Linked DNA regions of Caenorhabditis elegans. The protein of the gene in region 1 interacts with the protein of each later gene in a pairwise test. Each region holds a gene or a part of one and is shown in the gene's direction. Other genes may lie near its edges.

Region 1 (4,470 bases):
CGGCGGTCATTCTGAATTTTTAACAATTTTCGAATATCAATGTGAAACAGGTTATTTTCTTTCAATAGAAAAGTGAACAAATATCACTTGGTCAGATGAACCAGGTACGTGATTTGAAGGAAGAAAAATAAATAAATAAAAATGTGATATTCATGAAACAAAACAAATCAATTCAACTTTAAGAAAACAAAAATCACTCTATAAATCCTAAAACTGTACAGAAGAATCGAGAAAACAGACAACGCAAAGTACGAAAAGATAGCCTCGTTTGATAACACTATCATAAGGAGGTGTGGCCAAAAGTGCATTGTCGGCGATCTTCGACCCGTAAATTTAAGTCGATTACGAATTTCATGTCTAGGGCCTTGGCGGAGCAATTGGGTAACTCTTCGGGATACTCTTCCACTCCTTTTCAGTACGTTTGTAGATCATCTGTCGCGTGAAATGACCCATCTTTTGATTTTCTCTCAAATCCTTGACTGCTTGACGTTCGGCAGGAGATTTGAGGATTTCTTCCAGATTGCATTCAACCTTTGGAGCCGGCAGTGTGTCCACTTGAATTAGATCGACTTGAACCTGAAAAAATATGGTTCAGATTTTTGTAATGACCAAAAAGTGACAAATTAATTTAGAAAAAGAACAAAACAACATTCGAAATGAATCTAAACAAAGAAAACTTTTAAACAATAAGACCCGATCATACATCAACATCAGATAATATATAATGAAATTTAACTAACTCACCGTGTCCAGGTCATGTGTCAAAATAGACTTTGTTTTCTGTCTAGCTTCCCGAGACATGTGCGCCTTGAAGAGGAAGAAACTGCAAAGAACAAACAATTTTTTTAAGATATATAGTTTTTAAATATTACTTTGAAGCGTAGACGGGCTCATTTGTCTGTTTGGCCAGCCGTTTATACGGTAAATCTCGATGACCCAGTGACTCAACCTTTTCAATTACTGCTCCGTGATCCAGCAAAGTGTTTCCAGCACGCGTTAAAGCTTTAACAAGATCTGCCTGAAATAAAGAATATTCTCATGATTATACACATTCTCACGCTTCATCGTGTTTTTTCTGTACCTTTGACAGAGATCGTGTGATCATGCTCACTTCATAAAACGGCATTGTTGTTCTCGCCCAGTATGAATGCTTTTTCTTCACTGAAAATATTTTCTATGCTACGAATTTGGAAATATGTCAATGAAAATCACGATAAGAAATCACAGCACAAGCTATTTTTCCAAAATAGGAAGTTGCCATTTTTCAACGACAGGCTGTGAACACAAGATTATTAAACAAAAATTTACTAGAACAATAAAATAAATGTTCAATTTTCAATTTTTCGCATTAGAAAGTTAATTTTCCGTCATTGCAATCGAAAAAAGTTAATTTTAAAGTAAAGAACCAGGAAAAATAAAGTGGAAATACGGGATGGGTCTCACCACGGCCAGTGTCGATTTACGGGGAAATTGCATGCGCCTTTAAACGATGATATTTCTTTTTTGAACGGGAAGCGGGAAATTGTCGTTTTTAAGCATTATTTATTTATTTCTTTTCATTTTTTCATTCAAATTATATTCTAGATACGTTTATGGCAGGTTTTTCCGCAATGATTAAGCGTTTCTCACTGTTATGTCGATTATTAACGTGTTAAACTGTTATGTGTTGATTTTTTATTGTGATAAATTTATTTTCGTTTTTTAGAAGAATGGCTCCAACTAACAAAGACGGAGATGTGGCGACTGTCAAAGCTGTAGATGTTCTCAAACAAAAGGCTGGAGCCCATCATTGCCTTGGAAATGTTCATGCAAACCTTCCCGTTAATAAGGTTAGCATACCTGAGCGAGAAAATTCGATTTTAAATAAACACAATTATTTAAGGTGACCGTCCATCCATTGGTTCTTCTGAGTGTTGTTGATCATTTCAATCGTGTCAGCAAAACTCAAAGCGTGAAGCGTGTTGTTGGAGTCCTTTTGGGGTCCATGAAAAAGGACAAAACTCTGGATATTGGAAACAGTTTTGCTGGTATTTTTAAAAATTTATTTGCTTACTTATAAAGTAATTTTCAGTTCCGTTTGATGAAGATGACAAGGATAAAAGTACATGGTTCCTCGACATGGACTATTTGGAGAGCATGTATGGAATGTTCTACAAGGTTGGTGAATTTTGAAATCTCGTTTTTATTTAATTTTAAACAAAAAAAATGAATTTACAGGTTGCCGCCAAGGAAAAAATCGTCGGATGGTATCATACGGGTCCAAAACTTCACAAGGTATATAAGAGGCAAAAAAGAGACGGGGACAACGCGCGTAGTGGTCTAGTGGCTAGCAGGCACACACTCTGCGCCTCCAGCCATTGGTTCGATTTCTCATTCCACTCGGGTTTGTGATGACTGCATACGGATCACTGGGCTCTGAATCTCTATGAACCGATAATATCCGTTCTGATACCCGTTTTTACGGTTTCATGATCGATGGAGCGCGAACTTGTTTAAATTTGAAATTATACTGTGCAAATAACAACAAAGCAAAAAAAAAAAAACTTAAAACAAATCAAATCAAAACTTTTGAAAAAAATCGAAAAAAATGCAGTGGATACCTGACAAAAAAAAAAGAAAAAACCGTGTCACAGTGTTGCGAAATTACGCTCCGCCTTACTTTCTGTGCCACCCTGATTTTTGCAAAATTACGGTGTTCAACTTCAACAGTTTAATTAATTATTTATTTATTAATTTTACAGAACGATATTGCTATCAACGAGCAATTGAAACGATTCTGCCCGAACCCGGTTCTTGTAATTATCGATGCTGAGCCAAAGAACATCGGATTGCCAACAGAGGCTTACATCGAAGTTCAGGAAGTTCACGATGTACGTTTCAAAATACTGTTTAATTTTTTTTCAATATATTGTTTTGTAGGATGGAACTCCACCAATCAAAACCTTCGAGCATGTGCCTTCAGATATCGGAGCCGAAGAAGCTGAGGAAGTTGGAGTCGAGCATCTTTTGAGAGATATCAAGGACCAAACTGCTGGAACTCTTTCACAGCGTATCACCGATCAACTTATGGGCTTGAGAGGACTGCAATCACAGCTTGAATCCATTGAGAAGTATCTTCATGATATTGTGCGCGGAACTCTTCCAGTCAACCATCATGTCATTTACTATGTTCAAGAAGTTCTCAATCTCCTGCCTGACGTCACTCATCCAGACTACATTGTTTCACAGAATGTGCAAACTAATGATCAGCTCATGTGTGTGTATATGGGATCTCTTGTACGATCGGTGGTCGCTTTGCACAACTTAATTGATAACAAGGTGATTTGCAAAGATTTTAAAATTTATTAAAAGCTATGATTTTTAGATCTCTCTCCAGAAGGCTGAAAAGGAGCAGGAAACTGGCGAAGCTGAGAAAAAGAAGGATGAAAAGGATAAGAAAGACAAAAAGGATGAAAAGAAGGATGAGAAAAAGGAAAAGGACAGTAAATCATCAACCCCTAATACTCCAAAGAAGTGATAAACAAACTCAGAACATTGATTGTATCCTCATGTCCACTTCTCCACCAATCTCTTTTTCTTTTACCCTATCGCATCATATACATTTAATTTATTCGGTCTTTTATTTTTCTGTGCATCAATGTAGTATTTTATCCCCGGTATTTAGATCAGTTGCCAATAATTTTTCAGAAGACAAAATCTAATAACTTTATTAGAAAAAATAACAAAGATAACATCCCCGTAAAGCAATGGTAAATATCACGAAGAAAGGCATGGCTTATTAAATTAGGAGTATCCAATGTGGATTTAAAGATCTTTTTGCTGATGCTTGATGTAAATGCCTTCGGCAACTTTCCATGCACTTCCACCAGTGATCGAGTCGGTGCCGACGACCTCCCGTTGTCCATGAATGGGGCGTCCGAATTGTTGTCCCGAGAGTGAGAGGTATGAACCAGTGACAGCGTGGCGAAGTTTGAATTGCTAAAGTGAACAATATAGGGTATTCAAAACGTATAGATAATATCGAAAAGGAATGTAACAAACCTCGGATTCCAACCACTCATCTCCGTTGCAAATCACAGTCCAATCATCTCCCGTGTCACTTTCTGCTTCGCTGCCAAAAGCGGAGACCTCCTTTAAAAAATCAAATTATTCATTTGTTTTCTCGAATTGCCAAACAAACCTGATGTTGTTTGGAGAGAGGTGCAGTGAAATGATGGGAATGCAGGAACGTGCCCGTGGTGAGGTGCTTCAGACGGATCTTGTCTCCGCATTTGATTGCATCTCCACGATTGCATTTTGCGTTCAAAGCTGAAGTAAGAGAATGTTCGGTTTTCTTTGTTCTTTTTTTTCAAAAAGCATTAATATACACAAATTATTATAGTTTAAGTTACTAGGCGTTAACTTCCAAATAACTAACCTGGGAAAATCTGCCAATGAGAATTGATGTCGTCCGAGTTTTTTACAGCAGTC
Region 2 (3,851 bases), on another chromosome or scaffold:
AAAAACTTAATTTTAATGAAAATAAGGTCATTTTTATTTAAAATTCCTTACCATCCACCTCCAGATTGCGAGTCACCACGGAACCCATATGGCGGTGGCTTGGAGTAGTCGTCATATGGTGGAGGAGCACTTGGATAACCACCTGGACCACCACCTCCTCCGCCGGATCCTGGGCCTCCAGGACCTCCTGATCCACCAGAAGTGTAGCCAGAGCTTTCTGGGTTCTGATTTCTGTTAGTCCACATCGCGTAGATAATGTAGGCGATGAAGGCGACGACGACGAACGTGGCGAACTGATCCCATCGATCCTGGGATGACTTTCGAGAAACTGATCTGTTACCGCTCGCAGAATTGTACTCGAGCTCATACTCCAACCCGCAAGATCCTCTCAGGATGTATGGATCCTCTGCGTAATCGTATCCTTCACATGAAACACTGATCTGAAACAAGAAACATTTTTTGAAGCGAGATGGAAATATTTAAAAAACTAACGGATCCGAATTCCATATCATGTGGCAAATCTGCATCACATCTCCACTGCACATCCGAACCATCAAAACCTTGATTTGCACACTGAACCACCTTTGGGGTGAAGGCACCTTTCGCGGATCCACCGACACACTTCAACTGGAAGGTTGGAGAAACTCGTCGTCCTGTCGTCATTTTTCCTTTGTGTAGAGTAATTGCTGATACATCGCGAAGAAGAACTTTGTCAGAGGCCGCTGAAATTCATTTGTATTATTGAAACAAATAATCAAAAGAAAAACTTACCAGAAGTTTCGAAGAATACCACTGTGAACACCAGAAGCATCCATAAAAGGAAACTCGTTGTAAATCGAGAGATCATCTGAAAAAAGAAACTAACAATTAGGAATTTTGAACGAGTAATCAATAGAAAGTAGTATGAACATTGAAATAGTACCGGAAGATAAGAACGAAGCACCAGAGATTAATTTTGAAGCGTTGCAGTGAAAGGGAGAAAAGATGATAATGAAGAAAACGAATGATAGGATATGTGACGTGTAACAACACGGAATTTTCAGAAATTTCGAAATACTTGGATCATTTTTTTGCAAATCAAGAAAAAAGATAATACGAGAATAAGCGAGGAAAATCTATTGGATGGACACAATTTTACAGCAACGCCTTTGTTTGACATAATTTTTATTCAGAGTTGCGATTTTTATCAGATTTCGCTATAAACCAAGAAGAAAACACACAAATCTGGAAGGAAAACCTGAAAAGCTGTGTTGCCAGCTGGCGGATAAATCGAGAAGGGTGTTCGCACTTTAAAAACAATATCTTCTGTTAAAAAACAATAAAATAAATTAAGAAAAATAAATTGTTGCAAGCGCGCCCTATCGCATATGTTGAAGAGACTGTAGACGCAGACATATGGCCGTGACCGAAAACATTGTCTTTCGCGTCTCGATATTTCCAAAGTGAAAGGCCATGCGCCTTTAATTGCTGACAAATAAAATTCAAAAAAAGTTTTTTGTTTTGATTTTTGTGAGAGCGCGCTCGCCAAAAATGTTCATTTTAGCTATTCGAAATCCATTTTTGTTTTGATTGCTCCTACTCCTTCATTTTCTTTCTTCTTCACTCATTTCTCGTCTCAATTTTTAATGTATCGAGAATTTCTCAGGATGACTGCTCAAGACTACCTCAACGGAAAGCTGGCGGCTGCCAATGGACCTCTGGCCGATGACTGGAAGAATCTCAAGGAGCTCTGGGAGAAAAAGTAAGAATCAATTGTTTTTGTAGACACAAACTATTTCACTAATTTTCAGGCTCTGGCATCAACTAACGGTTCTGACACGATCCCTTGTGAAGAAGCCACAATTTGTGGCTTCAACGGACATGCACGAATTCTACAGACTGTTCGTGGCGGAGTGGGAGCTGCGTGTCAACCCTCTTCAGCTCGTCGAGATTTGCATTTCGATCGCCCAAAATATCGCGACAAAGGACAAGCAAAAATCTATGGAATTCCTGTCAAAAATTGGAAACGTCATCAACAAGGACAAGATTGCCGTTGCTCGACTTCATACCGGAGAGATTGAAGCCAGACTGGAGAACAAGGACAAAAATGGACAGATTATTGATCTGAAGAGCATTCGAACTCAAATCGATTCGACACAACACGAAGTGGACTCACTTGTCGGAGTTACAGAAGTTCATGCCCCGTTCTACCGCGTCTCATCTTTATATCTTCGTGAAGTTGGAGACTTCGCTGGATATTATCGCGAAGCTCTTCGTTATCTTGGAGTTGAGGACGCCAATAATCTGACAACAGAACAGAAGCAAGTCCATGCGGTTCTTCTCGGTTTCGCTGCTCTTCTGGGAGAAAACGTGCACAACTTCGGAGAATTGGTTTGTTGAAACTCTCAATTTAAATTCCCCCAATAAACGGTTTTTTCAGCTTGCTCACCCCATCCTCAAATCGCTCGAAGGAACTCGTGAACGCTGGATCGTGGACGTGCTTCTTGCCTTCAATTCGGGAGATTTGACGCGCTTCTTCTCGCTCGAAGGAGATTGGGGAGGCTGGGACGATTTGAAGAAGCAAAAGGATTTCCTGACTGCCAAAATCCGTCTGATGGCTGTCATGGAACTTGCAGTCTCTCGTCCAACCAAAGCCAGAAGCGTTTCATTCAAAGAAATCGCCACGAAGTGCCAGATCCCATTCGACGAAGTTGAGTTCTTGGTGATGAAGGCGTTGAGCAAGGATCTCATTCGTGGAGATATCAATCAAGTTGAGCAAGTTGTCTACGTGACATGGGTGCAGCCAAGAGTTTTAGATAATCCTCAGGTATAAGAATTGATTATAAGTTTTTAAAATACTTATTTTCTTTTTTTCAGATAATGCAAATGGCGACTCGCATTTCCGCATGGAGGAACGATGTCAACTCCATGGAAGGAATCGTCAGCAAAGAGGCACGCGAGATTCTCACTCAAAATTAAATCATCTCATTTCTTTAATTTATTTTCTCCATGCTCCCCCATCCCAATCCCGGAATCCTCTATTTTTATAATTACACTGCTACGTGTATTCTACAATTTCAAGATCGTTCAGTCTTCTTTCTGTGTGTATTTATTTGAATTCATAAATTAATCGACTGTGAATATATTGAATTTTCTCGATGTCAGATGTGACTAACACCGTGTCAATAGTTCACTAGTACTTTTCAATACTTAACATTCGGGTTCTCTTCGTCTTCGAGTAATGTAGTACTGTGATTGTTCCAGCCATGGTTGATCTTTCAAAAAACGACGGAGGCAGTGGAAAAGCCGGAAAAGGTGTGAGTGATGCCATCGATACAGTCCTCTACTACGTTGTTGATCTGAAAAAGCAGCAGCCGATGGTCCAGCTGGGTGTTGGTGCTGGATTCGGGACAGTGACTGGATATTTTGTCACCAAGGTATTTAAAATTGGTGGTTCTAGAGAAATATTTAATTTTTAAATATTTTCAGGGAGGACGTCTTGTTGCTGCCACAGTGGGAATCTCTTTCCTGTTGGCTCAATTCGCTATTCACAAAGGATACATCACGCTGAACGAATCAAAAATCGAACGAGACATGAAAAATCTACACAAGTCCGTCATGAACAAGTAAGCTTGAATTTTACGAAAAAAAAATAGAATAAAACGAAAATCGTATATTATTCAATTTTTCAGAGTATCCGGCAAGAAAGTTATCAACATTTCCGATTCATTTGTCTCCGAATACCGGTGGATTCTTGGCGGATTCGCAGCTGGGATGCTGATTGGATTTAGCGTCGCCTAAATGTGGAAAATTGTGAAGCTTCAGTTGGTTTTTATCTACGATCTGTACTATTTATAATCGAGTTGCTCGAT

What was found.
Region 2: the proteins of rpn-8 (region 1) and rpn-9 interact in a two-hybrid assay, tested with the Caenorhabditis elegans proteins (3 studies listed by BioGRID).

Annotation. Positions count from the first base shown.
Region 1 is NC_003279.8:4,173,614-4,178,083, forward strand, and holds rpn-8 (26S proteasome non-ATPase regulatory subunit 7), read left to right. Parts: upstream 1-1,705; 5' UTR 1,706-1,709; coding exon 1,710-1,829; intron 1,830-1,882; coding exon 1,883-2,027; intron 2,028-2,071; coding exon 2,072-2,157; intron 2,158-2,217; coding exon 2,218-2,274; intron 2,275-2,383; exon of another isoform or gene 2,384-2,451; intron 2,452-2,741; coding exon 2,742-2,870; intron 2,871-2,919; coding exon 2,920-3,318; intron 3,319-3,364; coding exon 3,365-3,517; 3' UTR 3,518-3,658; downstream 3,659-4,470. Other genes in the region: R12E2.11 (Orotate phosphoribosyltransferase), read right to left, coding at 1-10; mrps-6 (Small ribosomal subunit protein bS6m), read right to left, coding at 358-576, 745-823, 873-1,018, 1,082-1,126; R12E2.13 (MIR domain-containing protein), read right to left, coding at 3,805-3,978, 4,042-4,131, 4,181-4,308, 4,418-4,470.
Region 2 is NC_003280.10:11,236,714-11,240,564, reverse strand, and holds rpn-9 (26S proteasome non-ATPase regulatory subunit 13), read left to right. Parts: upstream 1-1,645; 5' UTR 1,646-1,646; coding exon 1,647-1,741; intron 1,742-1,790; coding exon 1,791-2,370; intron 2,371-2,419; coding exon 2,420-2,806; intron 2,807-2,856; coding exon 2,857-2,958; 3' UTR 2,959-3,118; downstream 3,119-3,851. Other genes in the region: T06D8.9 (Store-operated calcium entry-associated regulatory factor), read right to left, coding at 52-440, 493-722, 772-847; FUN14 domain-containing protein fndc-1, read left to right, coding at 3,246-3,416, 3,469-3,605, 3,672-3,780.